4 linked regions of the Rhinolophus ferrumequinum genome follow. The protein of the gene in region 1 purifies or fractionates together with the protein of each later gene. This does not show direct contact. Links are inferred from orthologs where the notes say so. Each region holds a gene or a part of one and is shown in the gene's direction. Other genes may lie near its edges. The genes, in order: HNRNPA1, DHX36, HNRNPUL2 and KHDRBS1.

Evidence for each region.
Region 2: the proteins of HNRNPA1 (region 1) and DHX36 purify together in Homo sapiens (affinity purification with mass spectrometry; 3 studies listed by BioGRID and IntAct, with this or other methods). This does not show direct contact. The link is inferred for Rhinolophus ferrumequinum from reciprocal best matches to the Homo sapiens genes HNRNPA1 and DHX36.
Region 3: the proteins of HNRNPA1 (region 1) and HNRNPUL2 purify together in Homo sapiens (affinity purification with mass spectrometry; 3 studies listed by BioGRID and IntAct, with this or other methods). This does not show direct contact. The link is inferred for Rhinolophus ferrumequinum from reciprocal best matches to the Homo sapiens genes HNRNPA1 and HNRNPUL2.
Region 4: the proteins of HNRNPA1 (region 1) and KHDRBS1 purify together in Homo sapiens (co-immunoprecipitation; 4 studies listed by BioGRID and IntAct, with this or other methods). This does not show direct contact. The link is inferred for Rhinolophus ferrumequinum from reciprocal best matches to the Homo sapiens genes HNRNPA1 and KHDRBS1.

What each region holds. Positions count from the first base shown.
Region 1 is NC_046293.1:54,024,372-54,032,357, forward strand, and holds the start of HNRNPA1 (heterogeneous nuclear ribonucleoprotein A1), read left to right. Parts: upstream 1-4,985; 5' UTR 4,986-5,128; coding exon 5,129-5,143; intron 5,144-5,687; coding exon 5,688-5,804; intron 5,805-6,101; coding exon 6,102-6,248; intron 6,249-6,376; coding exon 6,377-6,587; intron 6,588-6,684; coding exon 6,685-6,777; intron 6,778-6,861; coding exon 6,862-6,954; intron 6,955-7,242; coding exon 7,243-7,317; intron 7,318-7,531; coding exon 7,532-7,690; intron 7,691-7,986. UniProt on the Homo sapiens protein: Involved in the packaging of pre-mRNA into hnRNP particles, transport of poly(A) mRNA from the nucleus to the cytoplasm and modulation of splice site selection.
Region 2 is NC_046285.1:84,132,453-84,139,562, forward strand, and holds the start of DHX36 (ATP-dependent DNA/RNA helicase DHX36), read left to right. Parts: upstream 1-4,100; 5' UTR 4,101-4,174; coding exon 4,175-4,423; intron 4,424-7,110.
Region 3 is NC_046294.1:8,086,656-8,094,382, forward strand, and holds the start of HNRNPUL2 (heterogeneous nuclear ribonucleoprotein U-like protein 2), read left to right. Parts: upstream 1-4,714; 5' UTR 4,715-4,748; coding exon 4,749-5,286; intron 5,287-7,199; coding exon 7,200-7,335; intron 7,336-7,630; coding exon 7,631-7,707; intron 7,708-7,727. Other genes in the region: TTC9C (tetratricopeptide repeat protein 9C), read right to left, coding at 2,789-3,076, 3,681-3,747.
Region 4 is NC_046292.1:21,975,698-21,982,837, forward strand, and holds the start of KHDRBS1 (KH domain-containing, RNA-binding, signal transduction-associated protein 1), read left to right. Parts: upstream 1-4,133; 5' UTR 4,134-4,424; coding exon 4,425-4,806; intron 4,807-7,140. UniProt on the Homo sapiens protein: Recruited and tyrosine phosphorylated by several receptor systems, for example the T-cell, leptin and insulin receptors. Once phosphorylated, functions as an adapter protein in signal transduction cascades by binding to SH2 and SH3 domain-containing proteins.

The sequences.
Region 1 (7,986 bases):
ACTCTCCCCTAGAGCCTCCAGAGGGGGCTCAACACCTTAATTACAGGCTTCTGGCCTCCAGACTTGTGAGAATCAATTCTGTTGTTTGAAGCCACCAAGTTTGTGGTAAATTTGGTATAGTAGTTACAAGAAATTAATACACAGGGAAAGTAAAATTTTAAAATCCATAAACTGGACATATATAAAACAAATTACTGATCCATAAAGAACTGTGCTTCAAGTGACCCAAGGACTGCCTAAAACCTCTAATCCTCATTTCAAAGAGTAAAATGAGGTAAACACAGGATGCAATTTACCCAAAAAATATTAAATGTTGACAGATCTGAGAAGACAAACTCAGAAAGGTTTAATATTTACGTAGCTGCTAAGAACAGTGTACGTTCCCCCAAAACATGCTAGTTGGTAGAGCTCCTGGGCAGACTAAACATAGGCAACAGTTGTCACTGTGGGTGTTCTGCCAAAACAAGTGTAAAGTTGTCATCAGAAATGAATATGTGGCTTCAAGTGGCTTACAGAAATCCAGCAAATCTGCGTCTTGGACTCTGCACAAGCCAACTCTTCTCAGGATGACCTGGACTCCTTCCCACTAGTACAAATGATCAGCTAAAGCCATCCTCTATAAGGAGGGAAGGAAAATCAAATTTATGTCACAAAAAAAAAAAATTGCTGAGTCCAAGTTCATGTGTAAATAGCAGCCATACTGAGTCAGTCACAAGTGATATCTCACACTATAATTTATTACTTTTAAAATCAATATTCACAGCTTTAGGCCCAATTTCATGTCAAGTGAATGGAAATAAAAATAGACCAAGTAAAAGAACAAAAAAGGAAAGAAATGCTTTACCAGGGGTTGTTACATGGGCTATTCTAATAAGATATATAAATCATGCTATGTGGTTAAATAAAATACCTCAATAAAAGCAAAAAACACTAGCCTTCCTCCCAAACCTTTGTACCCTGGATACCTTTTCTAGAACTACTGTCAGGGCTCTAAAACCACCAAAACTTTCCTAGACATATAAAAACCCAGTCACTTCAGAGGATGTTCTTTCTCTTTTGTTCAACCATCACCCTGCTCACCTACCACCCAGATAGAAGCTTTCTACTGATTGGTTTTCAGTGAAGGTGTGTTATTTTCTCTTTCAGGTTTGGCTGCAATAGTATGCCTCTAAGATCTAAGCACAGGTGCTTGAAATTTAATTTTTGTAACTCAGGCTCAACATTTTGTCGTGTTAACAACCAAACCAGGTTCTACAAAGGCAATGAAAAAAGTCTGAAGTTAGACAACGTGATAGTCTCAGAGTTTCAATGAAAAATTACCCACTAAAATTTACCCACCAGAGAAATGTTCATCATGCCTATTATGACATTTTAAGAGAATTCACAGTAAAACAAGCAATTTTTACTTGCACACCACAATAAACCAAGAACTCTATGTTCAAAGCCTGAAATCTTTCAAATGAAAATATATCAGACATCAAATAAGGGTTCACTGATTAATTTGTTTATAAATCCAAGTAGCTGGGGCCAAAGATGGGAGGAATAATCTCACACAGAGAATAATCTAAGGCGGCATAATTTAGTTACCTATTCTTTAGACCAGTTGTTTTTCTTTTTTCACTAAACTGTGGATCTGTACAGAGCTGTGAAATCAGTTCAGCAGAAAATGACCTGTATTTTTAAAAAAAGGAAATAGTGTACTGTAGATGCAAAAATGTCAAGAGTGCTTTGCACATTTATTTGTACAGTGAAACTTGTTTCAATGTGTGTACAGGGTCAATATAAAATATATTTTTTATTAAGGGTCAACATCTAAAAAGGTTTGAGACATTGATCCAAAAGAATCCCAATAAAGGGCGGCCCGGTGGCTCAGGCGGTTAGAGCTCCATGCTCCTAACTCCAAAGGCTGCCAGTTCGATTCCCACATGGGCCAGTGGGCTCTCAACCACAAGGTTGCCAGTTCAATTCCTCCAGTCCCGCAAGGGACGGTGGGCAGCGCCCCCTGCAACTAAGATTGAACACGGCACCTTGAGCTGAGCTGCCGTTGAGCTCCCGAATGACTCGGTTGGAGTGCATCCTCTCAACCACAAGGTTGCCGGTTCGACTCCCACCAGGGATGGTGGACTGCACCCCCTGCAACTAGCAACAGCAACTGGACCTGGAGCTGAGCTGCGCCCTCCACAACTAAGACTGAAAGGAAACAACTTGAAGCTGAAAGGCACACTCCACAACTAAGATTGAAAGGACAACAACTTGACTTGGAAAAAAAAAAAAAGAAAGTCCTGGAAGTACACACTGTTCCCCATAAAGTCCTGTTCCCCTTCTCCAATAAAATCTAAAAAAAAAAGAAAGAAAAAAAAGAATCCCAATAAAGGAAAGAGGCTTAACTCAGGTGAAAATGTAAGAAGCATCTGAGGCAAGTATATCTTTTTAAAAAAACGTATTTGCCATTATTTTAGAAAGCCAAACAGAAGATGCAATCAAACATGTTTAAATAGTAAACACCTTAATGAAATTTTCCTTCTATCCAATGGAACACTATATCTGAAGAGATAATCATTAGGATTTAGTAATCCATTTACTAAAAACCACCTCCTAAACACATCACCACCCATCTTCTCCCTCTAATTTCCAATTGGTAAAAGATTTTGACAAAATAATCAACTCTAGCATGTCAGTTTAGATCAATGGTTTTCAACTGGGGATTATTTTGCCCAAACACCCAACCCCCAGGACATCTGGCAGTGTCAGGAGACATTTTGATTGTCAAAAATGGGGGTGAGAGGTGAGATGCATTTGCAGGAAATGTCAATAGTGCTGAAGTTAAGAAACCCTGTAGATCAAGACTATTCTTTTCAAACCTATATCCTTTTAATTCTTAAAAATTAAGGAGCCGCATTTTGAGCATACCTACAAATACTTTATAAACAACGTGAAATAGGTTTGTCCTTTGGGAAGTGCCAGAGAACATGGAAATCTCTCTGTTCATATCTCAACTAAAATCACCTTTTATAAGTCAGAAATGTTCTCTAACCATAAGGATACTTCATATGCAATTGAACTCACGGCAGTATTCAAAGATTTTTTTCCCTTGACTCTAAATAAATACATCAGTGAGTAAAGCAGTATATATTCTGATACAGCCAAAATGTAATGAAAATTTCTGTATTTTAGTAAAAATCTTGGAATAAGCAGAATGGGCATTACCAACAGGGAATGGACTGCATCTAAAAATAAACACTTTTAAGGAAATATAATCAAAAGGCAATGAACTAACCCAGGTGATGGATGAGCCCTTCTGTCCCCAACACCCTAAATCAACAGACTTTAATTTTAATCACAAATTATTATTATCCCTGCAAAGATTTAAACATTAGAGATCTAATCTGCCTCAATGCCACTGTATTCCTGGGGGTAACACACTTTGGTCTGTAGCTTTCCAAAACTTTTTCTATGGACTTACAAATATCGAGTTGTATGTGGAAATATGTATTATTACGTAGATATTCCTCAGGCACCTTTTCAAGACAGTACAATCTCTATTTGTTCTAACATTTCAAGTCGGTCTTCCTAAAGAAGCTAGTTCTCAAAGTCAAAAGACCTTCTTCCTTGCTCCCCCCAAAACCTATGGTGGATGGTGGGATGTACTGATGTGTGTGTGTTGGAGGGGGCGGGGGGATGCCCAACTCGACGTACACAGGAGCAAACGTATCGTTTCCATACCAGGGAGGCTTATGCGATGGAGGCCTAAAGGCTTCGTTAGAAAAGTCATAGTGGATAAAATATCCATCCCGAAGCGCCATCACAGGCATTGAATCCCTTTCCTCATCAACACAAATCCAGCACCTCCGTCTTTTGGAGCGCTGATTGGACGACCCGGGAGAGCGCTCTCAGTAGGTTGTCCTCCTACTGGCTCCAGATTTGGTCCATCCATTTTACCGCCCAACTCCCGCATTTCCCATTGGAGTCAAACCGCTGCCTCTTAGAGGAGCCCAACCTACCGCGCGCTTCGTGCTCATTGGCTTAGTGAGACGCTGCTCAGAAGGGGAAAACCCGCCTCCCACATTCCGATGGCCCAAGGACCGATCAGTCGGCAGCTAAAGGCAGACCCAATTGGCCTATACACTCGCCAGTCAAACTCTTAGACGGCAAAGCTCCACAGAACTTACAGGGATAAAACATCCCGCCCCTGTTCTTCCATTGGTTGGCCGGACCCACCGCTCCCCCTCCGCTAGCCCCCACCCCGCGGTCCATTCATTTCACACAATAACGGGCCCATTTGGAGTCGGTTCAAGACCTCGTATGGGTAGGCAAGACTGTCCGCCACTTACCCGGGATCGAGACCGATCACTCACGCTAATGTCTTCCCTGTTCTTCTGTGGTGAGGCCGGACCACAAGCCACAGCTGCCGCCGCCTTCTGCGCAACGCCAACCGCCCGCCAAAACGGATCCTTCCCTGCGCCTGCGCGACCAATCCTGGGACCAGACCTTTTTCTCCGCCCATTACGCCTGCGCAAAACGAGGCACAACTCCCGCCACAACGCAGGCGCTGTAGGTTCGCCGCCGTCTCCCGCCCGCCATTTCACGTGTTCCAAGAGTCAAGCGGAACTTCTTATTGCGCCTGCGTAAACTCGCCATTTTACTACACATGCGCTCAGCAGGCGGTTGTTGCAAACAATAAAATTAATATGCTATTTTTTAATACACTGCATTAATCATAAATTGACAACTGAATAGAATGTAATATTCGGGGCGTGGAGAGCCAAAAAGTTATTCAAATACCTTCAGGATGTTCAAATATGAATGATTGGTTGGCTAGCCAATCACACTAGTCAGGAGTAACATTACACGGGAACCAATGGACTCCAAGGGGTGGAGACTACGTAGAACGCCCAAACGGATGACGTTACACAGCAATGCGGCACCACAGTCCAATAGTAGCAGGAAGCTATTTCAAATATCCAGTCAGAGCTACTCAGGGGCGGAGTCTACCAATGCCGTAAGCGAGGAGGCGGGATAAAACAGCGAGGCCGAAGGTAGGCTGGCAGATACGTTCGTTAGATCACTCCTTTCTGTCGGTGGACGCCGCCGAGTAAGCATCGTTAAAGTCACCCCTCCCGCGGTCGTCATGTCTAAGTCAGAGGTAAGATGCTCTGTCCAACTTAATTTTCTTCCTCGCTCCTTTCTGAGTTGGGTTGGATGCGGCCTGGATTGGTTGTTTGCGCCAGCCCATTCGGCAGTTCTTCGGTCACTGCCAGGGCCTACCCCTCCCGAAGTTCAGGTCGCCATTTTGTCCTCGTCGTCGCCATGAGGCCGCCGTTCTGCAACCCTTAGTTATCACGCCGGGTTTGGTCCTCCTGGTAAAACTCTTAGGCACAGTGAACGATTTTTATCTCGTCTCAGTGGGCGAGTTTTTTTTTTTTTAAGCAGCTGTGGTCCCTTATTGGCGATGCACTCCTCCCGCCCAGACCTTTTGTTGGCGCGTGCGTCGGAGGGATTGTAGGGGCGCATGCGCTCGCCGTTTCCCAGCCCCCAACATAGAGCCTCCCCAATGGGGAGAAGCACGTGGCTTGCTGCGACCCTCTGGAACAATAAGTGCTATGTACGTTGCTGTCTCGTTTCTCTTAATTGGAAGATGTTTTGCGATACAGACCGACATAACGCTTTCCCTCCCCCCCCACTCTTAGTCTCCCAAAGAGCCTGAACAGCTGCGGAAGCTCTTCATCGGAGGTTTGAGCTTTGAAACAACCGATGAGAGTCTGAGGAGCCATTTTGAGCAATGGGGAACGCTCACAGACTGTGTGGTAAGACCTGGAAGAGACAAAAGAGCACTGGAACTAGTTGATTTCATTGGCTTATCTTGTTATACTTACTGTCCGAATGCTTTTGAAGATTGCTAACAGGATTATAGTTGGAAGTAACTTGGCAAGGGAAGGTGAGGCTTTAACTGATTAAGATGTAAATAGATTTGTTAGATGGGTAAGATTAAGTTGAAGGGCTTTGTATGAGGGCTAGTATAAAGTTTCCTGCTACCTTATCCAAGGTAGAAATGACAGTAGTTCTTGGAGTCTTAATATGTGTTAAATGAATTAATATCTCAGGTGATGAGAGACCCAAACACCAAACGCTCCAGAGGCTTTGGGTTTGTCACCTATGCCACTGTGGAGGAGGTGGACGCAGCCATGAATGCAAGGCCACACAAGGTGGATGGAAGAGTTGTGGAACCAAAGAGGGCTGTCTCAAGAGAAGTAAGTGTTTTTTCTTTCCGTTAGTCATATAGAAGTGTGCTACTAGGTGGATGTTACGTTCAGGGATGTTGGCAAACTTTAATACTGATTTTGCTGATGTAAGTCACTTAATTGGATTTTTCCTTTAGGATTCTCAAAGACCTGGTGCCCACTTAACTGTGAAAAAGATTTTTGTCGGTGGTATTAAAGAAGACACTGAAGAGCATCACCTAAGAGATTATTTTGAACAGTATGGGAAAATTGAAGTGATAGAAATCATGACTGACCGAGGCAGTGGCAAGAAGAGAGGCTTTGCTTTTGTAACCTTTGATGACCATGACTCTGTAGACAAGATTGTCAGTGAGTATCAGATGACTGGTATTTACCAAGGGGTTTGAAATCCATATCTTTCTCTAAACCCTGAGAATTGTCCCTTTTCATTGTTGAAATTTTTTAGTTCAGAAATACCATACTGTGAATGGCCACAACTGTGAAGTAAGGAAAGCCCTATCTAAACAAGAGATGGCTAGTGCTTCATCCAGTCAAAGAGGTGGGTTTGTTGCTTTTAGTTAAACCTTAAATAAAGGTAACTGAGCAATTACAATCTGTGGTTTAACACTTATCTCTTCTTAAGGTCGAAGTGGTTCTGGAAACTTCGGTGGTGGTCGAGGAGGTGGCTTTGGTGGGAATGACAACTTTGGTCGTGGAGGAAACTTCAGTGGTCGAGGTACATGTGGTTCTGCTTTATTGGGAATTAAGGGTAAGCTTGTGATGTAATTACCTGCCTGACTTGTGCTTTTTACAACCTGCAGCTCTATGTAACTACTGACTGGCATTTCTAAAGTTACAGTTTTATCCAAATGTAGTTCTGGTTTCTGCTAATCAGAAGTTAAAATCTTTGGTGTGGAAATCATTTTAGTAGTACAGGAACTGCTCCCTGAAGTAGACTTGAAAGGCTATAATTATATGTGATGCACGTACTCCGAACCTGCTTTAAAACTCCACTTTCTTCCAGGTGGCTTTGGAGGCAGTCGTGGAGGAGGAGGATATGGTGGCAGTGGGGATGGCTATAATGGATTTGGTAATGATGGTACGTTTGTGTGGTTTTTGTTTCTTTAGGAATACATGGGTGGAAAGTTTGTGGTAACCTATAGTCTATACTAGGTTAGTAGAGACTAAAACTAGTGCATGACAAGCTGAACTCTGACTATAACAGCATGTGACCAGGCTGTTACCCATTATGCTTAAACAGATTTTGATTGTTGAATACTTTTGTCTTATTGAGAAGAATTGTATTCTTGTAGGTGGTTATGGAGGAGGCGGCCCTGGTTACTCTGGAGGAAGCAGAGGCTATGGAAGTGGTGGACAGGGTTATGGAAACCAGGGCAGTGGCTATGGCGGGAGTGGCAGCTATGACAGCTATAACAACGGAGGAGGCGGAGGCGGCTTTGGCGGTGGTAGTGGTAGGTATCCAGTGATCCAGGTACTTGGTGCAGTAGCTAGATTAGCCTTGTAGAATTTGTGCCCGTATGGGGATTTGGTGCTCTTAAAGCATTATGTGGTACGCTGCATGGTATTTTTTAATGGACTTGCTGTGCTACCTCCTCCTGGCTTTAAGCTGGGGCCGCCTCACTCCCAAATAGATGAATAAATGGATAGTGGCATCTTCAGCTGGAATCAGATTAGCTTCTAGCAGCATTTAGTATCTTTGGGACTTTAGGCACTTAGTTGATGTATCCAGCATGTTTGCAGTGCCCCT
Region 2 (7,110 bases), on another chromosome or scaffold:
GCAACCTAAAAATTGTTGTGGTCCCAACCAAGGCAGGAAAAACAACGACGACAACAACAAAAACCCCAAAGAAAGAAACAAAAAAAAAAACCCAAGTAACAAATGATACTTTTCTTCTGACCAATATCTTTCTGGTCTTTCCTTGAAAATCTCCCTTTTGTGCAGATTTTTACTACAATGACATTTACTCTAAGTGTCTGCCTAAAGCAATAGTCTCAATCAATATCACACTACTTCATGCTGAAGACATCAGAAAAAAATAGTAATTTTAAATTTATAACCAAGATTCTGCTTAGGATCAACAAACATGAGATGAAGAGAAATAATATAATTTATCAGAAAATAGAAATAAAACTACCTCTATGTCCACGGTTTTCATGAGGATTGTATGAAATACGAAGTGTTATTACTTTTCTATTGCTGCCACAATAAATTACCACAAACTCAGAGACATAACACAGATTTCCTACCTTCCATCTATGTAGCGTAGACATTTTGACAAGGGTTCTCACTGGCGTTGGCAAGGTATTTCTTTCTGGAGGCTCTAGGGGAGAATCCATCTCCTTTTTCAGTTCTAGAGGCTATCTGCATTCCTCGGTTTATAGCCCCCTTCCTTCATCTTCAAAACCAGCAACAGTTGGTTGAGTTCTCATATCTCATCACTATGAACTTCTCTTCTGCCTCCCTCTTCCACTTTGAAGGACGCTTATAATTACATAAAGCTCATTCAGATAATCCAGGGTAACAGCCCCGTTTTAAGGTCAGCTGATTAGGAACCTTAATTTGCCTTGGCCATGCACTGTAACACATTCACAGGTTCTAGGAATTAGGATGTGGCCATCTCTGGGGGTCATTATTCTGATCACTAATGTGAATCACCTAGCGTTTGTTGCAAACGCTGAGCAACAAATAAGCCTAATTCTCTCCTCCACTTACTTTCTGCATTAGTGTGCTCAATCCGCCATAACAAAATACCACAGGTTTAGCCTCAGTGACATAAACAGCAGACAATTATTTCTCATAGTTTTGGAGGCTGGGAGATCTGAGATCAAGGTGCCAGCTGCTTCGGTTCCTGGGAGAGCTCTCTTCCAGCCTTGGAGACAGCCTCTTTGTGCTCCTGGGACCTTTCTCCTGAGGAAAGAGAGAGCAAGCTCTTTGGTCACTTTTCTTACAAGGACACTAATCCTAATGGATCGGGGTCCCACCTTTATGATTTAATTTAATTACTTCCTTAAAGGCCACCTCTCCAAATACAGTCACACTGGGCATTAGGACTTCAACACATAAATTTTGAGGGGACACATTCAGTCCATAACACTTTCTCACCTAACAGTCCACACTATCTCCAACATGCCTACGTAATCTTACCTATTGAACAATTGACAACTTGTTGCATCTTGTGTGCCCAATAGATACTTCAATTGGAACTATTCAATCCTATGGTCTTAATAATTGCCAAGAACTCCCAAAATGTATAACCTCTGTCTGCTCTCTCTGCTCTTTTAACTCACATAACCAACTGCTTTCTGGATATCTCAATTTGTATGTTTCATAGGTTTCTCAAACTCTACATGCATTAATTAAACACATTAACTCAACCGTCCCCCCACCCAACCAAAAAAAATTCTCCTCATGCTATGTTCCTCATCTCAGGATATGGTATCTCTTCATTTGATAGTCTTTCAAATCTTAAATTTGAAAGTCATCTTTCCTCTCATTCTCCACATTCAATGAATCACCAAGTCTTAATAATTTAATCTCCTAATATCTCTTAATTCCAGTCCTTCCCATGTCCCATCTTGCTTTGTCACCCCACATTGCCTCCCCTACACCTACTCTTGTCTCCTCTATTCTTTTCTATGCAAAGCAGCCAAAGTAATCACTCCACCACTTAAAGTGAACTCTTGTTCTTTATGTGTCATATAAGGTCCTCCATGATCAGGCTACTTCCTACCTCTTTGGCCTTTTCCATCAGTCTTTAAGTTTCAGTGTAGTTTTCTCACTCTTCAATGTTTCATCATCTCTTCTCACACATTTTCCCCTCCACCTGTAATAATCTCACCCCTTCCCATCAGTCTGGTTAAAGTCTACGTAGCTCAAAAGTCACTACTTAACTTCTCTTTCTTTAGAAAGGACTCATCTGACTTCAAAACTAGATTCTTTTTGCTGCAACATCTCATGGTTGTTGGGGAAGAAAAAACTTTTCCTCTACCTCCTAGGTTTAGCTTTTGGGAGCCTGCAAATTAAACTGACAAAAGACAGATAACCAAGAGAAAAGACAGATTTAGTCACACACCTAAGAAAGTTCACAGAAAAATGTGACTCAAGAAGGCAGTTAGAACTTGGGGCTGATGTGCCATTTTAACAGAGGGAGGAAAAGAGGGAAAAGGCATTTATGGAAAAAAAAAAGATATTTAGGAAAGATAATTGGGCTCTGGTGAGAATAAATGGGAGATATGATCTAGTTTTGTGACAATGTCTGTTTAGGTGTGGTGCTGACTTCTAGTCTCCAGTGGTAAAAGTCAATCTTCTCTGGTTATTCCCACAGGGAAGGGATATATGACATTGAGTTCTTTGGGGAGGCTCTGCTTTTAGGCAGATATGTGATTTCAGGAAATCAAATGCTTCTCTCAAAATATATATATGAGTTCCGACAATTAGGTTCATGAACCTGTTGCAATGATGTTGCTAATCTTTTTTGATATCAGAGGGATTATTCATTATGAATTTGTACCAACTAGATAAACAGTTAACCAAGTTGACTATTTGGAAGTGCTGAAAAGGCTGCATGAAAAAGTTAGACGACCTGAACTTTTTGTCAACAATTCATGGCTCTTGCATCACGACAATGCATCAGCTCACACGGCACTGTCTGTGAGGGAGTTTTTAGCCAGTAAACAAATAACTGTATTGGAACACCCTCCCTACTCACGTGATCTGGCCCCCAGTGACTTCTTCCTTCACCCAAAGAGAAAGAAAATATTGAAAGGAAGATATTTTGATGACATCAGGACATCAAAGGTAATACGACAACAACTCTGATGGCCATTCCAGATAAAGAGTTCCAAAATTGCTTTGAAAGGTGGACTAGGTTCTGGCGTGGGTGCATAGCTTTCCAGGAGTACTTCAAAGGTGATCGTAGTGATATTCAGCAATAAGGTATGTAGCACTTTTTCTAGGATGAGTTCACCAACTTAACTGTCTGACCATATGTGTGTGTGTATATATATATATATATATATATATTTAATGCCAGTCTTTTTTACAGCATACAGCATTTTCCTGTTTTAACTCACTGCACACTGATTTCTTTAGTCTTTATCTTCTACTCTACACTGTAAGCAAATGAAAGCTGATGTCGTACTTATCTTATTCAGTGAGCATCCCCAACACCTTTAAATCAGTTAAATGTGGAAATAAACTGGTTATCCCCCAGTGACTATCCAAGCCTGTGTGGCCCAGAGACTTGATTATTCAAGAACAGCTTGTGCTAGACACTCAGTAGCCTGGTCAATCAACAATAGATGGCTTCATACAAAAATAGGAATCTTCAACTGATGTTTTATTTAAATTGCCTAATTGCTCTGCACTGAATTTTGGTTGGACATGCTCATCTTATGCTATTGGATAAAGGTAGTAAATAATAACCTTTTAAAAGAGGCAGGGACAATTGGTATTTGAAACAGGTGCCAGGCTTTTTCCAAGATATAGGACTAGGAAAAGAAAAAAGATATGATGAACTCATTTCAGTTCTTCAGAGGGTTTTTAGAAGAGAATGCATCCTCCCACGGTTTTATGTCAACCTATGCTTAGTATCCTGGGCCTACTTGGACGCAAACTCCAGAGTTTACCACAAGGTAACAAAATAAAACCCGCTTCCTCACATGTTGAGAGTGAGAAAAGTAAACCGACGAGCCTTTAGCTTGCTCTCCCTCCAGATGCACGTCGGAAAACGACTGAGGGAACATCCAACAGGACTGCACCTCAACACCCTCTCGACGTCCACGGCTGTCTACCCGTGACGTCACCGGAAATGGGTGCTTGTGACGCTCCAGGGCCCTCCTTCTCGCGCTGGGCGCCGGAAGCAAAGTGAGAGTGGACGTGCACCCGCTTCCGGGCCCGGTCGCCATTTGCCGCGGTTGCGAGACCTCACGCGCTGTGGTCCTCGGGGACAATGAGCGATGACTACCATCAGAACTGGGGCCGCGATGGTGGGCCCCGCAGCTCCGGCGTGGGCTATGGAGGAAGCCATGGGAGGGGCCATGGAGGGAATCGGGGCTCCGGCGGCAGCGGCGGCGGCGGCGGAGGAGGTGGTGGTCGAGGCGGCAGAGGCCGACATCCCGGGCACCTGAAAGGCCGCGAAATCGGCTTGTGGTACGCGAAGAAACAGGGACAGAAGAACAAGGAAGCGGAGAGGCAGGAGGTAATCTGAGATGCGATAGTGCATGAGGCAGGACAGGTTTTCCTTTCCGTCTCACCGCGCCCCTAACTTTTTCTTTTTTTTTTTTGTTTTTTTAACTTGGTTTCTTAACTGGTATATGTGATTTGTGAAGCGCAGTATGAAGTGCAACGGTATACTGAAGCTTTCTGTAGCGAATGTCGTATGGCTTACCCTTAGCCATGCGAAGCAGACAACTTTCTGTGGGCTGAATGGATACTTTGCGTAAAGGACGTGAGAACTGGGGACAAAAGAAATGTTAATTTCAGGTTCCGACCGAAATTAACATTATTCGCGTGTCGCTGTCATAGTACCTCTGGCGGCCCTTTCCCTTAGAATAATTATGGTCACTTTTGTTTAAGATTTTTGCGTGAGGAACTCCAAAATAGCGACCCCCCTACAATAGATAAAGGTTTGCAGGGAACAAAAGCTGCCCGAGCACTGTTTTGAATGCACATCGTTCAAACGAAGAATAGTCCAGCTTTCATTTTTAGTATTAAAACAGCCACAAACCCAGGCCTTTTGTTTTCGTGTTGAGTTGGGGAGGTTTCAGCTTCTTAGCAGCTCCTCTTTGAGAAGGAAACTTAGGATCCTAGAAGAAAGTGGAAGTTTCAGGAGATGGTTTGGCTCAGGACTGTCTTTTCAGGATGGTGATTGGTTCCTAGCTTGAAGATTTGTAGTAAAGATTGAAGTTTCCTGAGTGGCCTATTCTAATAGATACATAATTAAACAGAAGCTTTCTTTACATAAGTCTTAGAACAGCTTTTTAGTGACTTCTTTAAAAGCACCCTTTATATTTGGTACAGAGTGTAATTAAATCACCATTTAGGCTTTTGTTTTTAAATAATTTTTTATTTTTCTTTAATTCATGTCGTTTTTATTGAAATGTTTTTGAGCGTTACCCATTCATCTTCACAACTTAAGATATTCTCTTCAAGAAAAACCAGCAGGCTTCTTTGGCAACCAAAATTAACTTGTTCATTAAGCAAACTTTATTTTTTAATTAAGGGGAGCACATCTAAGTCATTTTGAAATTAGAAGATAATTGAGTGATTACTATAAAAGGATGTACACAGTAACTTTCTAAGACTCCATCAAATTTTATTTGCCCATTTCACACAAGGTTTTATGCACGTTGCTGTGGGGATCTGAAGAATTATGATGTTCAAGGGGCTTACAATCTAGTTGGGAAATAAAAGACCTAAACAGATGAAAAGTTAAATGAATGAGGAATAATTGTTCATATTATTTCCATCTGAAATCAGTTGTGCGATGGATCATTGTGAATGAAACTTGCTTTCCAACTCCTCCCCAAACTTGCTCCATTTTAGTAAATGTCACTACCATTTATTTATCACAATTTGAGATTAGAGGCCAGGTCACTTCTGTCTCAATCTGATAATACATTTCAGGACATCCTAACCTGTTGTCCAGGAATCTTGGTAATCTAGCTTCAACATAACAGGTTTCCCTCTATGTGCTTATCTTGAAAGCAGTGGCTTTCAAACTTGTTGATGCTTTCCACAAAAAGGAATATAGTTTAAATTGCAACCCAGTGCACAGGTATTTATAACTGAAAAAAAAGTTTCATAAAGTAATACTTAATTACCTGTACATTGTTCTGGGTTTTGTTGTTATTTTGTACCTTTCTGCTCTTTTTTATTAATACTGGTCATGATCCTTTGATTTTACAACTGGCAATATGAAAAGCCCTGGGCTAGAAATACAAGGGCTTTGAAATTGATTGAGTTTTCCCTAAGAACTCCAGCAAGCCATTAAAGCATTTTAAGGGGAAAAAAAAGGGATTGTGTTTAAATCCATTCTCTGGTAGTATAGAGAATGGATTGAGAAGAGACAATCCTGGGACAGGGAGACTAGTTAAGTAGCCCTTCCAGTAATTAAAGTGAGAAATGAGGGCTTGAATTAAGACATTGGCAGTGGAGAAGGAGGGAGGTGGACAGATTAAAGTGACTTAAGAGCTAGACTCAGAATGATTTTCTTTGGAGGGAAGGGGAAATGACACTTATGACTTTATAAGGAGCAGAGGTGATGGAGGAAGAGGATGGACTCAGCTAAGGACTGAGTTTGACATTGTTGTAGGACGTGCAAAAGATGATTTGAGGGAGGTAGAAAGCCACGTCTGGATCTGATGCCTTGCGAAGTCTAGTCTGCAGGTGAACATCTGGCAGTTTGTGGCCCTATGGCTAGTCCTTGGACAGTGCAGGCCTGAATTCTGTGTACCTTTGCTTCTCCAACTTGAATGTGCATAGGAACCAGTTGGTGTCTTGTTAGAAGGTAGAAGTGGGCTGGGGTCAGAGATGGTACTTTTCTACCAGAGTCCCAGTGGTGTCAGTGCTGCTGCTCTGCAGATCCTCGGGCTGGCCAGTGCAGCACAGGAGAATGTAATGGGCAGGCTGAGGGAGAGAGGCTCGTGAAAGGATCTCGGAAGGAGCAGCCAGAGAAGAAGAAAGTAAGGAGATGGGTGTTGTTTTGGAATCCAGGAGTTTTGTTTAAGGGGGGAAAATGTCTGTAAAAAAGAGAAAGTGATCAAGGGTGGCAAACACTGCAGATGTCACACAGGTAGAGCAACAGTCTATTGGATTTAGCGACAGTGTCATTGGTAACCTTGATGAGAGCCCGTTCAGTGGAATGGTGGAAATAAAAACCAGATT
Region 3 (7,727 bases), on another chromosome or scaffold:
AGTAAGTTGTCCAAGATCCCACAGCTTGTAGGTGGAATGAGTAAGAAATCTGAACCAAGGACTCTCTAATTCCAAAATCATCCTCATTCTCTATTATGATTCTCTATTACTTCACCATTCCCTTGGATGACTGAATGGCATCTCAAAATACAAATCTGTTCAGGAGACAACGTTCAGGCCAATGTTCTGTCTTTGTATAATTAAGAAGGGAAATGGTTCCCTATTTCATAATTGTGGGAATTAAACCCAGTATTATCACATCGTGGTGCTGAGAACCGAGAACGAAGGCTGATGAGTTATTGAAGGGCCTAGGCTGATGTTTGCATTCCTTCTGCAACATCCCCACCAAGTGGTCATATGGTTTATATTTAGATGTTTCCCCAGATTGGTGGTCACTTAATCCATTGCTGTAGATTCATCCATTCAACAACTAGTTATGGAGTAATGAGCACATGCGAGGCAGAGCGGGAGCAGGGGTTTAAGAGGAACAAAACAAACATCTTGATGAGTAAAGAGCTAGTTCCCAAGTAGTAGGAATACACAATAAACAAATAAATGAAGTTTTCAAAAGTGCTTTGAGAAAAACAGAACTGTCCTGGGATAGTGAATGAGGTCAGAGTGCAGTTTGGTTACTGAAGGCCTCTCTAAGAAAATGACTTCTGAGCCAAGATCTGAATGACAAGGGTCATTCAAGGGATAAGGCATTCTAACCTGACAGAAGAGATCGTACAGAGCTGCTGGAAGGTGGAAATGTACTTTACAAAGTCAGTGTATGGAGAATCCAGATCCTGTCCAGCCCTGCAGATAACGGTCAGAGTTGGGATTTTTTCCTAAGTGTGATGAGATGCCATTAGAAGGTTTTAGGTAGTGACACGATCTGGCTTCCTTCTCTGTACAATGGGGATAACCCTAACTTCCTTCCAGAATTTTTGAGAAATGAGATATTGTAAATAAATTCTCACCATGTTAATTGGCAGGCAGTAAGTGAAAACTTTTAATTCAGTGAGTCTTTAGGGAGCATCTACCAACCACCCACAAGCAGAGGCTTTACAGATAGGTGGCTGAGCCATGGTCTCTGCCTTCCAGTCCACCTGCAGTCAAGACATTGACAGGTACCCATCTCTACAGCATCTCATTTCCTTGACTTCTAGTCAGTTCTTTAATACATATCCTATTCTCTAATAGTGTGCAGTATTCTGCAATAAGAATTCTGGAGTTAAGAATTGCCCAGGTTTAATTTTAGTTCTATCGCTTACTAGCTGTTTCCTTAAATTTACCTCAAATGATTTTTATGACACTTAAATAGGTTAATACGTGTAAAGGGCTTAAACAGTGTCTGCCCATGGCATTTTGTAGATGTCACCTCAATGAGCCCTCCCTGACCGCTCTCTTTAAAAGTGAACGCTCCCATGCCGGTAGCAGTCACTATCCGCATTTTCTGCTTGCTTTCTTTTAGAAGGTACTTATCACCTTCTAACATCTATATATGTTATTCTTGTTGATGTTAATTGTCCATCTCCCTTACTCGAATACACGTTCCATGAGCGGGGATCCTCAGCAGCTAATAAATAATTGTTCAAATAAAACTTTAACTATTATAATTATTATTGTTACTTGAGTCTAAGAGTAGTACTATACACACACTGTAAAAAAGCTAGATTTTAGGGCCAGCCTAGGGGGCTCAGGTGGTTGAAGAGCAGTGCTCCTAACACCGAGGTCAGGGGTTCAATTCCCACATGGGCCAGTGAGCTGCGCCCTCTACAGCTGAGATTGTGAACAACAGCTCTCCCTGGAGCTGGGCTGCCCTGAGCAGCCAGAGGTTGGCAAGAGCTGCGGTGGGCTGCTGTGTGCTGCCACGCGGCCAGTGGCCATCGTGAGTGGCCGGCTGTCAGCGTGAATGGCAGGACCAGCGACCTACTGCCTCAGCGGAGGAGTAGAAGGCTCATAATACCAGCATAGGCCAGGGAGCTGTGTCCTACATAACTGTACTTAGAAACAACGCCTTGAACTGGAGTGGGAGGCGGGGGCAAAAGAACGGGGAGAGAAGCTAGATTTTTGCCACACCACAGCTGATGAGTATTATAGTAAAAAAAAAAAAATCACTTTTAAACAACCATTACAAAGTGTAAAAACCACTCCTAATAATTTCTAGGGCTTCAACTTGGCCCATTAGAACGTTTTAATATACTTCAAAATAATTAGCTCTATGGTTATTTTTGCTGCCATAGAACAGACCTAAGAATTAATCTTTCTCCTGGCAGATTAATCCTAGAGATAGTCTTAACATCCATTAAGGCCATCTGGAGATTGAAGATACTTATCCAAGATACCATCTAGCTGATTTATAAGGAGGAAAATGAGGAAAAGCTATCAAAAACATCTAATATGGATGACTTACATCAGCTGAAGCATGTGCCTTCTTTCCTGTTTTTTAAATACTAAAGAAACAACATCATGAGGGTAAGTTCAGTACTTTCTCTATAGCGCGCACAATTCCCTAAACGTATCAGCATCACCTGGGAGTCCCTCAGATCGTGGGCACTACCTCAGGCCCATTAAATCAGAATCTCTGGGGGTGGAGCTCAGGAGGTGTGTTTAACAAACTCTCCAGATGAAATGTGAGACTGCCGCCCGACAGAAACTCAATTAGTGCCATATAGATTGGAAATTATTTCAATTCATAGCAGAATTAGATGACAGCAGAAAAGCACGTCAGTGTTTTTTCCCAATGGTCAGATTTTCATGTGCCTGCCTGTATACTCTACCCACCCTTCAGGCCTGTTCTTACCAGCTAGATTGTTGTAGCAGTCTGTCTGGATGGTGTGCAGTATGTTTTCTTGTTCAGGTGTGAGAGCTGGGCCCTGAGGTCCTAGATTAGGTATCGGGGAGGGCAGACTTGGATCCAGACCCCGCAGCTGAAGCAGAGCTCGATGGTACCTACTCACGGCATCTCGGTACTTCCCTTCCCGGTAACACTGGTTCCCTTTCTCCTTGTACAGCTGAGCCTCGTGCAGGCGCTTCTCCATAACTCTGTCGCTCAGTTCTCTTGAGGAATTGGGGAAAAACAACTGAAGCTCTGGAGATGGAAGCAAAATTACTGATTTTGATAGCCGATTTAAGTAGGGAGGAAATTACCCTTCTCCAGGAGGCCCTCCAGGGAAGGAGTTTTGCTTTTCACTACAGCTCCTCCCGCTCCTCTGCAGTATTTTTCAATCTCTAGAAGTGCAGGAAAATAATCAGGGAGAGGATGTGGCAATAGTAAAGCCAGAGATTAAGTGATTTTCCAAAGAGATGATTCGGGGTGAAGAGACCCTGAAAAAGCAAAGGCCGCACTAAGGAATTGGGGGAGGCATGCGAACGCCGGCGAATTTACTTCCTCCTTACTTTTAGACACACCTCCCTGACCTGGAAGTGAAAGGAAGTAGGCGGGGACAACGGCTAACAATAGTCTAAAAGGCTTGACTCCATCCGAGTTCTTTATTCGCACATATTCAACCAGCAATAGTTGACGTCTGTACCAGGAGCTGGGGAGCCGAGGTGAATGTGACCCGTGCACCACAACCCACAGGCCGAGACTGACCCAACCGCAGAGCAGCTCAGCTGCAAGTCCTCCAAGCCCCGCGGCCAGCCCCTCTTGCAAATGCCCAAGCCCGGAAATCTTCCCCTGGGCTTCGGTTTACCGGCCGGAGCATCCAAATGACAGGATCCGGTCTCCTGACAGTTTGTTGTTTCAAGGGTCGCGCGCATTGCGCCACGGCATCCAATCAGAAACGACCCCAGAAAAGTAATCCCGCAAAACGACCTCGCCTCTGCAGCCTCCCCTGCGGACCAACACAGAAAAAAAATTAAAAAAAATCCCCTGGCAGCTTCGCCAATTGGAAACGGACGATCATGGATGACCAATCAGAATTGCAGATGACGATTCAAGTTGGCCAATAAGAGAGCTAAACGGCGAGGTCAGGGCGTCTGTTGCTGGGTAGAAGTTAAGGGATGGGGGCCAAGTGGTTACGGTATTCCTTGGTTTTGGAGAGCCCTTTGGCTTACCAAGCAGAAAGACAATTACTAGTAGGCTTTCACGTTGCAACAGCTTCCTTCCTGGCTCTTATTTTTTTCTGACTCTCAACAAGCTGCTGTACGTAGAGACAGTAGAGGAAAGGGACTAGTGAGCAAACCCCAAGACGACAGCGCGATCCGGTCAGACGGGAGTGAGGGTGGTAACTGGACTGAAGGGGCGTGTGGGAAGGGAGCTCCGGGCGGCTGCGCAGTCCCCGACTGGAAGTACGAAAAAACGGGTGCGCACACGCCTCCGTGCTACGAGGCACTTGAGCCGCAGCCAGCCTTCCCCGTCTCCGGCTCCGGCGCGGCTGCGCGGTGAAACTACCGGCGGCGATTGGCCCAGAGGGTAAGAAGGGGTGGGAGGTTAAAGGGAGGGAAGTCCGTCGTCCTCGGCGCGCGCCCGCCAGCGGCAAGGGGACCGAGGGAGCAAGAGGGGAAATATTACCCTAGTGCGTGGTTTTGGGGTCCTCGGGCCTAAAAGGGAAAAGGAGCTGGAGGGAGAACCAAACACGACGTAGCGGAGGCTGCGCGCAGTCCTTGTTGCTTGCGTGCGTCCGTGCGTGCGCTCGCTCGCGCGGGCTCAGTGCTGGCGCGTGAAGCGGAGGCGGGCGGCGGCGGCGCCTGCGCGGTTGGGCTCGGTCGACGGTTCGCAGGGGAGGAGGCGGCGGGAGGCGGAGGAGGCGGCGGCTGCGATGGAGGTGAAGCGGCTGAAAGTGACCGAGCTGCGGTCGGAGCTGCAGCGGCGGGGCCTGGACTCACGCGGCCTCAAGGTGGATCTGGCGCAGCGGCTGCAGGAGGCGCTGGACGCCGAGATGCTCGAGGACGAGGCCGGCGGTGGCGGGGCCGGGCCCGGCGGGGCCTGCAAGGCGGAGCCTCGGCCTGTGGCCGCGTCGGGCGGCGGCCCGGGTGCGGACGAGGAGGACGACGAAGAGGAGGAGGAGGACGAGGAGGCGCTGCTTGAGGACGAGGACGAAGAGCCACCCCCTGCCCAGGCCTCGGGCCAGGCCGCGCAGCCGCCGCCAGAGCCCCCGGAGGCGGCAGCTATGGAGGCCGCGGGCGAGCCGGATGCTTCCGAGAAGCCGGCGGAGGAGGCCACGGCCGAGTCAGGTGGGGTAAATGGTGGCGAAGAGCAGGGCACCGGCAAGGGGGAGGAAGAGGAGCCGGAGGAGCGGAGCGGGGACGAGACGCCGGGATCCGAGGCGCCGGGTGACAAGGCCGCAGAGGAACAGGGTGAGGAGCTGGCAGCGGAGCCCGACTCCAGCATGCCGGGTGCGCCCCTGTCCCAGCACCCAGCCCTGCACCCCAGGGGCCGATCCCTTCTGATCACTTGCCTGAAAGTGCCTGATTCCCATCGGCATTTGATGGGACACCCCAGGGGACGGGACTTCCATTCTCTATCCCCTTTCTAGGAGGTTTGGCCGCCTCTGGTGGCCTCACTCTCTGCAGGAGGGAGGTTCTTGCTTAACTCGGTTCGTTGGTGGTAGTGGATGGAAGTGAGCCGTTTTGCATGCGAACTGCCTTTGAGCTACCTGTGGAGCAGCCTCCCGCGGTGCTGGTTATTTTTTCCCAAATCGAGAATGAGAATGCGTTAACGAATTGGCGATTCCACGGACAGCCAGACCGACTGTTGGAGGCTACCTGACTGTTGACTTTTTCGCCGTAAAAATATTAAGCAATAAACAATTCGTCAAAGTTCGCTCCATCAGAAGCACATTGCTAGAGTTTGAGCCACACAGAGAATCTGGCCAATCTAACCTTGTTCCTGCTTTAGCAGCAGGGGACAGCCTGTGGTGTGAGGGTGTCGAGTTTAATAGTTAACTAGTGAAGAGAAAGCCTTAATCTAGCACATTTAAAACAAGTCATTGAACTTGGCTAGGGGGTTTACTTTGTATTTTTAGGATTAAAATATAATCTTCCCACTGAGTTGATGGACGGGCATGTTTGTAAATTTGCTGTACACTTAAGTAGCCGTTTACATTTCTGGTCCCTAACTAACTTAATTGAAATGATTGAGGTTTTGGTGGGCCCATTGAGTAACCTTGTGGAAGAGAATGTGTAGCGTCACCGCGGGGAGTTAGTGACCTTTCTCTCTTCCTTTGAAGTGATTGGATGGTTAGAGGTGATCCATACTATCTGTCAGAGTGGGTTGGAAAACTAGAGTGTCTTCCAAGTCTTAGTATGTATGAAGTCGGTTGCCTTAGTTCGTTTTAGAATACATTTTTTAGGCTGCTACTTAGTATAGTATAATTGGAACCCATTCTACAATAGTCACATGCAAGTTGAAGATTGTCCTATGTCCTGGAACAAAAATCCCATTACATAACCTTTGACTTAACGTGTATCCCAAATAACAGATAATAAAGGTTGAGGGATAAAGGACTGCTTTAAATTATTATTAAAAACTTTCTTAGTATTGGAAACTGCAAAAGCCTAAGGAAAAATTCTTTTGTTTTTCTCTTGTAAAGAATGTTGCTAAATATATGACAACACCTTTCTGCCCCAAATTATGTGCAGTAAAGCTACAGTATTATTTATGGGTTTCTTGTGACTTAGTGGTTTGCTCTTGTAACTTTCAGTAAAAATACAGCTCTGTATCATGCACCTGAATCCACTTGCTAGATAAGTAAAGCCGTGATGGCTGTGCATTTTAAAGCTGGAAAGGCAAACTCTTTAAAAGAAATTCACAAAGTGAGGCTTCTGTATCATGAAGCTGTGGAAGTGTTGGAAAATACGTTTTCTGTCTAGCTTAAATTCTCATCTGACAATCAAGAATTTAAATTAACCTGTGAAGTTTTAAAAAATCAAGACTTAGGGGATATATTTTTCATGTCATATTGGTGGGGAAATCTGCAAGTTTGACCTGATTTAAGCAGATAAATTTAGAATGCAAAAATTGTCCAATTTTTATCTACTGCTTGCCTGTAACTAGCCCATAGTGTCTTTTTTTATTATTTTTTAATAAAAATCCCAGGTAATGACAGGAAGGTGATCTTTGAAAATAAACCACTCTGTGGATGCAGTGGGAGTAACTTGGCTACTCTGATTAGACAGATACTCAGATCCCCTTAAGTTTCTGTTGGTTCTGAGCTTATTCTTCACTCTAGTATGAAAAACTGCTGATTTTCTTTCCCTCCTTTTTGTAGGAGATGACCAAGATAGTGAAAAGTCAAAACCAGCAGGCTCAGATGGTGAGCGGCGGGGGGTAAAGAGACAGCGGGATGAGAAGGATGAACATGGCCGAGCTTACTATGAATTCCGAGAGGAGGCTTACCACAGCCGGTGAGGGAAACAGTCCCTTTCATTGAAGGGAGTGTCTGCTCTGATATTGGTATACCTGGTGTTGATTGGAGTCTGCAAAGAGGGGTGGATTAAAAATGGAATAGGGTTTTATAGGCATAAGTTTTAGATTGAATCTACCCTGGAAGCTCCTGTTGCCCTTTTCTCATTTGCTGAAAGAAGCTGTCTGCTGGAATTTTATATTCACTGATAGTTAAAAATGGACGTGATGTCATGCAGACACTCCTCAAAGAAGAGGGCTTTGGTTACATTGTATTTGCTTTTCTCTCATGTATAGCTCAAAGTCTCCACCACCCACCGAAGAAGAGGCAAAAGATGAGGAGGAGGATCAAACTCTTGTGAACCTGGACACGTGTATGTATGAGGCAGACAGG
Region 4 (7,140 bases), on another chromosome or scaffold:
AGTGGGGTCAAGTCACTGGGCACACCAGCCCTGCTCCAATCCCTTCTGTCCCTGCCCATGGCTCCTGCCAAAGGGTGGGAATGCTAAGAGCAGCTTGGGACTAGAGTGCAGCAAGCAAGGAGAATGGCCCTGAAAGTGAATGCCTCCTTAAGTTTTGCTGGCCCTGATGCTCTCAAGGTGCTGGAACAGGCCTGGGTCCGAAAAGAGGAGCTTCTCCCAAGCCCCGAGCTACGTAAGTCATCTGGGCCCTGAAGCAGCACTGCTAGTGGCTGCAGTTTGAGTTCTACTGGGGACATGCTGAGTTTGAGGGTCTTCTGAGACATCCAAATAGAGCGGTCAGGGATGCACTTGGCTATCTGGATTTGGAACTCGGAAGATTGGGCTACAGATTTAAATTCCAAAGCCATGAACCTATTAGAGGAGGGAATATTAGGGGACAAAGCTCCGCTGAACTTTCAATATTTAAATGCCCTGCCCCTGTACCCCACTTAACTACTTTCCAAATTCAGATCAGGAGTTGGTCCGTCACTCCTTCCTGTGTATTCCCACAGCAATTTGTATAGTGCTTGATTATAAAACTTTTCACAGTACTACATGGTCACTCTTGGTTTATGTATTTGTCTCCTTCATTAAACAATGAACTCCTTGAGGGCATAGATTCTTATTCAATGTTCAATCCCATGCCGTTTCAGCTATCATATTGGTGAAGACTAAAAAGATGGGAAGACAGTACCCAGAATTGATTGAGGAGGTGGGAAAAGAAGATGCTGCCTACCTTGCTGCTTGGCGCAGTCTTTTTGTGTCATTTCTAGGAATTATCCTATATTGATATTATGCACAGAGATGTTCTGTGCAGTGGTGCTCATTGCAGTACGGTTTGCAATACGGAAAAGCTGGAATCAACCTATATTTATATCAGACGGGAACTGGTTAAAAGCGCGCAATGAAATACTACACGACCATGAGGAAAAAAAAGAAATAAACTTATATACTGACAAGGAAAGGTAGCCAGAATATTTTATTTAAAAACAAATCAAAAACTGTTGGTATAGAATGCTGCAGTTTGTGTTTAGAACAAAAAAGACACACTTGCATATAGATGTGTCTGGTAGCCTACACAAGCAACCACTGAATAGTGGGTATCTTTAAGGAAGGGCAGTCAAGTGAATGTGCAAGGTTTTGGGGGGACTTTTACTTGTCACTTTCTGCCTTTATTATGGTTGGATTTTTCGTAAAGCTAGAAGTATGTATTTCTATAACGAAAAAATCTTAGAAAAACACTTTAAAATGTTGAATCTTGATCTCCCTGTCTACTTCTCCACCCTCCATATATTTGGCACCAAGTAGGTATTTAAGATTGAACAGAGGAGCTACATTCTCGGAAGAGAAACTCTCCTGCCCAGGGCTGGAGCCCTTCTTCTCCTGGGAACTGGCTGTGAAGCTGGGGAGGTAGGTAGGGCCTGCAGATCCCCCATCTGTGGAGATCACACAGGTCAGGCAAACCTCCATTCTTTTCAGCCCATCAGTTAGGAACTCACGTGAAAGTGAAAGTCTGCAATAAGGTACTCGATAGATAAATGTGTGTAGTAATAACAATGGCCTCTATCGCTTATCAATTACCTACTAATTGCCAGACCCTGTGCCGAGTACTTTACAGATGCTCCCTCCTTTAATCCGAACAGCCCTGAGGTGGCTATTCTGACCCGTTTTACCGAAGAGAAGGAAGGAGAGGCTGAGAAAGATTAAGTTAAGTGCTCGATCATTCAGCATGTAAGAGGAAGAGCCAGCTTTGGCCCTAACTCCATCTGAATCACTATGCTCTCAATTGCTCCTGCACCCTCTGCCATAGTAACTGGACTATGTGAGGAAATAGGGTATAAGTAACTTAGTCTTTTTGGAACCTCCCTGCTCCAAAACAAAGTATAGCTACAGCCTGTGAAAACAAGAGATTAGAGAGCAGGCCTTGCAAATCCACAGCCAGCATGAGCACCCAAAACTCTTCACTAGGCACTAAATAACATAGTAATTATTATTACTTCTGCTTATAAGCCCTACTATTGGGAGGTTTACACTGATATTTGTTAATGTTCACAATTCTGCAAGGTAGATGTCATTACCTCCATTTTATAGAGAAGGAAACTACAGCTCAGACAGGTTATGGTTTTCTCAATGACACACAGCCAAAACAAGGCAACACTACATTTGAAATCGTCCGTCTTACTCCAAAGTCAGTCTTTTCTCAAGGCCATATTGTTAATACCTTCAGGAGAACCTCAGACAGCATACCATGGTCCACAGAAAATGAACTGCAGACCTCTAGGCTTTCAGGACAGGAATTACTCTTCCCAATTCCTAAGGAAGGGTTCCTGTACCATTCCCTCCACCGGTCCCCCCACAATGGAAGGCTGCTGCACCACGTACTTGGTAATAAGTACACTGTGGGCACACAATCATCGTTTCAGAAATTACCTTTTGTGCATCTCACCCTGAAGAAGAGCTCAAAGCTCCCTTCAACCCCACCCTCAGAGAAAGTAAGATTTGGCAGCCATCTGGTAAGAATGTTGATTCCGTCTAGAAACCCACAGATACCACTACCCAGCTCCTTCTCAGACACTTCCTTATCAAAGTTTTATTAGCCTCAGCTCAAGGTACCTCCTCCATCTGGGCATCTCATTACACAACAAGGACACTTCAGCCATTTGTAACACCATCACCCAAGCAGAATGTTCAAGGACAGCAGCAGAAATGAGTTGCAAGGGAGCTATAAATCCTCCTTGCCCCCTTTCCCTCCTCCATGCATTTGATGTCTCCCCCCACTATTTCTTCACAGTTCACAACTCGATTACTCCCATTCCTTAAATGCGTCTCTGACATTCTCATCTCTGCTCATTTGTTCACGCTTCCCTTTGCCTGGAACTCATTCTCCTCTGGCCAAAATCTATCTTGTGCTTTGAACTCCAATCGTACTTAATATTCACTTATCTCTTGGCATTTGTCACATTACAATTTTTCATTACAATTATTTAAAACATTCTTTTTTTCCTCCTACTTGAATATAAACTACGTTTGTGACCTCAAAGTACTGCACCTGACACCAGAAATATATCTATATATGTGATAATTTGTGAAGATATTTGTGTTTTGTTCTCATTTCTGTGGGTGGTTTCTCTCCCCCACTCACAAGGTTGCCAGGCCTTAATGTTCTCTTGTTGAAGGCTTCAAAGTTTCAGATCCCAAAATCAAAAGTTTCCAGGCACCCAGAAGATAATTTCCAGAAATGCTCCTGAAAAGCGTTGGCTTATTCTGGGAAACTGATCCAGAAGGAAAAGGGATGGGAGTGCTTAGAAAGGGAGAAGCAAATATCTGTGAAAGGAAGGAAAGGTTAAAGAAGGCACCAGAATGAGGAGAATGCGTTGGCAGACTGTCCACTATACACCTTGGCCTTGAGAGCAGTGGTAAGGATCTCTTTGAACAGGTCTGGAAGAATCCAGTGTGAAGGGCCCAAAAAGAGGCAGGAGGCTTACCACTCACATCAGTAGAAGGAGCCACCCTAATGATGCAACCATCATGGATTATGGACCTGGCCTCTAGCCCACTTTTTGCGGAAGAATCTTAGTTCAAGTCCTCCAACAGCCTTCAGTCTTCCCACTGCCGAGTCCTTCCTCAATTTTTCCCTCCAAGCTTTCCTTTCTCATCTGCACCCTTCAGCCCTGCGTCAGACTCTCCCTTAGTCGTTCCTTCTTCACCCCAGCCTCCCCTCTGCCCTGTCTCTTCCTCCTCTCTTCCCAGGCCCAGCCAGCCTCAATTTTCTCCTCTAACCCACGCCACCCGCAACCTCGCGTCTCTCCCGCCGGTCTCCTTTTATTCCCCTACTTCAATAACCCCTCCCACCTCATTGAGCACAACCCCCCTCTACTGCTGAGCCGTTAGAGGGGGCGTGGCCCCGCCAGTAACAGGTCTCCCGCCCCACACTCCGCGGGTCCGCGCGCAGACAAAGACATTCCACAGCCCCCGCCCCCACCGCGCACTCGGCCCGAAGGGGGAGGAGACACGTGTCCCGCTAGCGCCCAGTCACGTGGTAGAGAAAACGAATGCTGCCCGCCGCCACCCGCGCAAGCGCACAAGGCTTTGGCCTGGCGGGCTCCGAGGGAAAAGAGGAGCAGGGAGGCGACATCTTCGGGTTCCTCGCCGGTGCGCAGGCGCCGTGGCCCGATTGGGGACTTTGTTCTTCGCGGAGAGACCCAAGGGCGGTGCCGGAGACTGGCTGCGCACGCGCGACGCCTCATTTCCGGTGCTCTTTCGCTGGGTCGCTCGGGTCGGCTTCGGTCGCCGTCGCTCCTGCTCTCCTACCCCCGCCAACCGCCACTCGGGCCTCTGCCGCTGCCGCGTCGCTTCCTCGATCCTTCGATCGCACATCCTCCCCAATGCAGCGCCGGGACGACCCCGCCGCGCGCATGAGCCGGTCCTCGGGCCGCAGCGGCTCCATGGACCCCTCGGGTGCCCACCCTTCAGTACGTCAGGCGCCGTCTCGGCAGCCGCCGCTGCCTCATCGGTCCCGGGGAGGCGGAGGGGGATCCCGGGGGACCGCCCGGGCCTCGCCCGCCACGCAGCCGCCACCGCTGCTGCCGCCCTCGGCCACGGGTCCCGACACGACAGTGGGCGGTCCGGCTCCGACCCCGCTGCTGCCCCCCTCAGCCACTGCCTCCGTTAAAATGGAGCCGGAGAACAAGTACCTGCCCGAACTCATGGCCGAGAAGGACTCGCTCGACCCGTCCTTCACTCACGCCATGCAATTGCTGACGGCAGGTAAGCGGGCCTCCCGAGTCCTTCTGGGTCGCCCGGCCACCCGGGAGCATGGGTGGCAGCGGCTTTGTTCTTCTCTCTTCCCGCCCCCTCGGGACCAAAGCAGTCATGAACTCCCCTTCTCGTTTCCTCATTCTCATCTTCGGTAGTCTGGATTGCACATTCCCATCCCGGCCCTGGGTGCGAGGGAGAACGTCTAGGCTGCAGTGGAGGCCCGAAAGGCACTTGGCGATCTCTGAGTGCAAAGATGTTGATGGATAGTGCTGCGCTCCCGCCCCCTTTGTGATCCCCCTCCCACCTCTTGCAGCTGCCCCACGCTCCGAGTGCTCAGATTCTTCCAGAAATGAACCTTTATCTCCCCCTGCCCCCGAAAGGGAAAGCTTTTTCGTCTGCGGGTGGCGGTAGGCGCCTCAACTGAGGGTGTAGGAGGTGAAGACAGCCTGAGCGAGGGGGGGCCGTGGGAGGGCGGGCGGAGGTGAGATGGGGTGAGGCTGGAGTGCCCTGTCCAGCGCGCCGCGGTTGCTAGGGCCGGGTCAGACTTAGCGGTAACTGGAGCTTAAGTTGCTCCGAGGTAGGAGCAACCGGTGGGAATCGACGCTTGAGGTTATCCGAATCGTATTTCCGACTTGCACCTAAAATAATCATTGCTGCAGAGCTGGAAGTGGTCAAGAATAAGCACGGACCCTCTTATTTTACAACTTGTGTTCACCATCATTCAAGAAGGGGAAAAATAACCCTAGAGACAGTGAAACTGGGAAGAGGGAGGAACGGGTGGTTTGCATGACATTCCCCAACGAAATGGACAAAAATTGAGGAAGTTGCACGATGCTTGTACCTGAAAGCCTTTTTCTTTGTGTTTTTTTTTCTTTTTGCTTCAGTAGTGAAATAGATTAGGAATAGTATAGTCTTTGTTCTGTGTCGCTGCTCCTTTTCTGCTCTGCACTAGCCAATCACCTAGTCGCTCTGATTTCTCCCTAAAGCCGTCTGTTTTGCCCTCACTTCTAGTTGAAACGTTGTTTTAATAAGTAGTTCTTATATGATACCTAAATTTTAATAAGTACAAATTCACAGCCTTCAACACTGAATGAGTGACTAACTGGACTTTTTGACAAGGTTAATGTAACAGGCAGATCCTTATGAGAATACTTCGCTCCCTTTGTTCTCTATCTCCCAACATTGCTAAGGGGTCTTTAAAAGCATAAAGCACTCAGTGGTCAAGAATAAGCACAGTTAGATAAAGTGTTTACATTATGAACTCAGTGCTTTGCTGTTCTGTAATGGATTGTTTGAAGCATTACTGTTCATGTATTCTGGCAAGGTTTTTGAGAGCAAGGAATGCTTTTTATCTTTATATTTTTCTATTGTCTTACATGTAGCAAACCCCAGGTGCTTGAATTTGAAAGCAGATTTAGGAATGTCCGAGTAGTAAAGGTTGACTTGGTAGTCTAATTTTTATTTCCTCAAGTCTTTAATTAGTCCAGGTTAAATTTGTGAGATAAAATAACAAACTTTAGGACTTTTAAAGTCTTGGCTTAGGCTTGAAATTCTGACCCTTGACTTGGGAAACTTCCTGAACCTCAGTGACCTCAACTGTAAAGTGGAGTGGTGAGTTGTGAGGATTAAATGATGTGTAAAAGCACTAGCACAGTTCCCTTCGACCTATAATCATTAGATAATAACTTGTCACCACAAGTGATAAATCTGTGGTACTAAATATGGTATGAAAATACAACATATTTTTTGCCTTTCTGACCACACCAAGTACCCAGTATGGTATTCATCTTTTAAGTAAAAGGTGATTTCTTGGGATAACCATCAAAAACTAGTGATCCTTTAAAGTTATTTATAATTTTCACCCTCTCTCACTGCTTAAATTCTGTTGCAAGAGAATGCTCTTTAATTTTTTTTACCTTGGGCTTTTTTGTCTTTTTTTTTAAACTAAAATGAAATTTTAATTGGAGAAATGAGATTAAAGTAATGTTGGCTTATTGAGAGAACAGACTTGAGATCTGTGGAAATTTCTCAGCATGAATAAATCTTGATATATATTGGGCCCTACGTTTAAGGTATTTTTTAATGATCTGGAAGAGAGATTGTAGTGAAGTCAACCGACTCCCAGAGAAGACAGAATAGTAGTATTTAAGCTCTGATAAGGAGACGTGTGAGAAAAATACAGCTAACTCACACTGTGCTAGGCAGTGGTCTGAGCACTTTACATCAAATATTTAGTCTTTACGACAAAACTTATGAGGAAGTTACTCTTATTCTCGCTTTTACAGATGGGGGAACCATTCATACAAAGATTAAATTGCCTAAAGTAACAAAATTAGCAAAAAG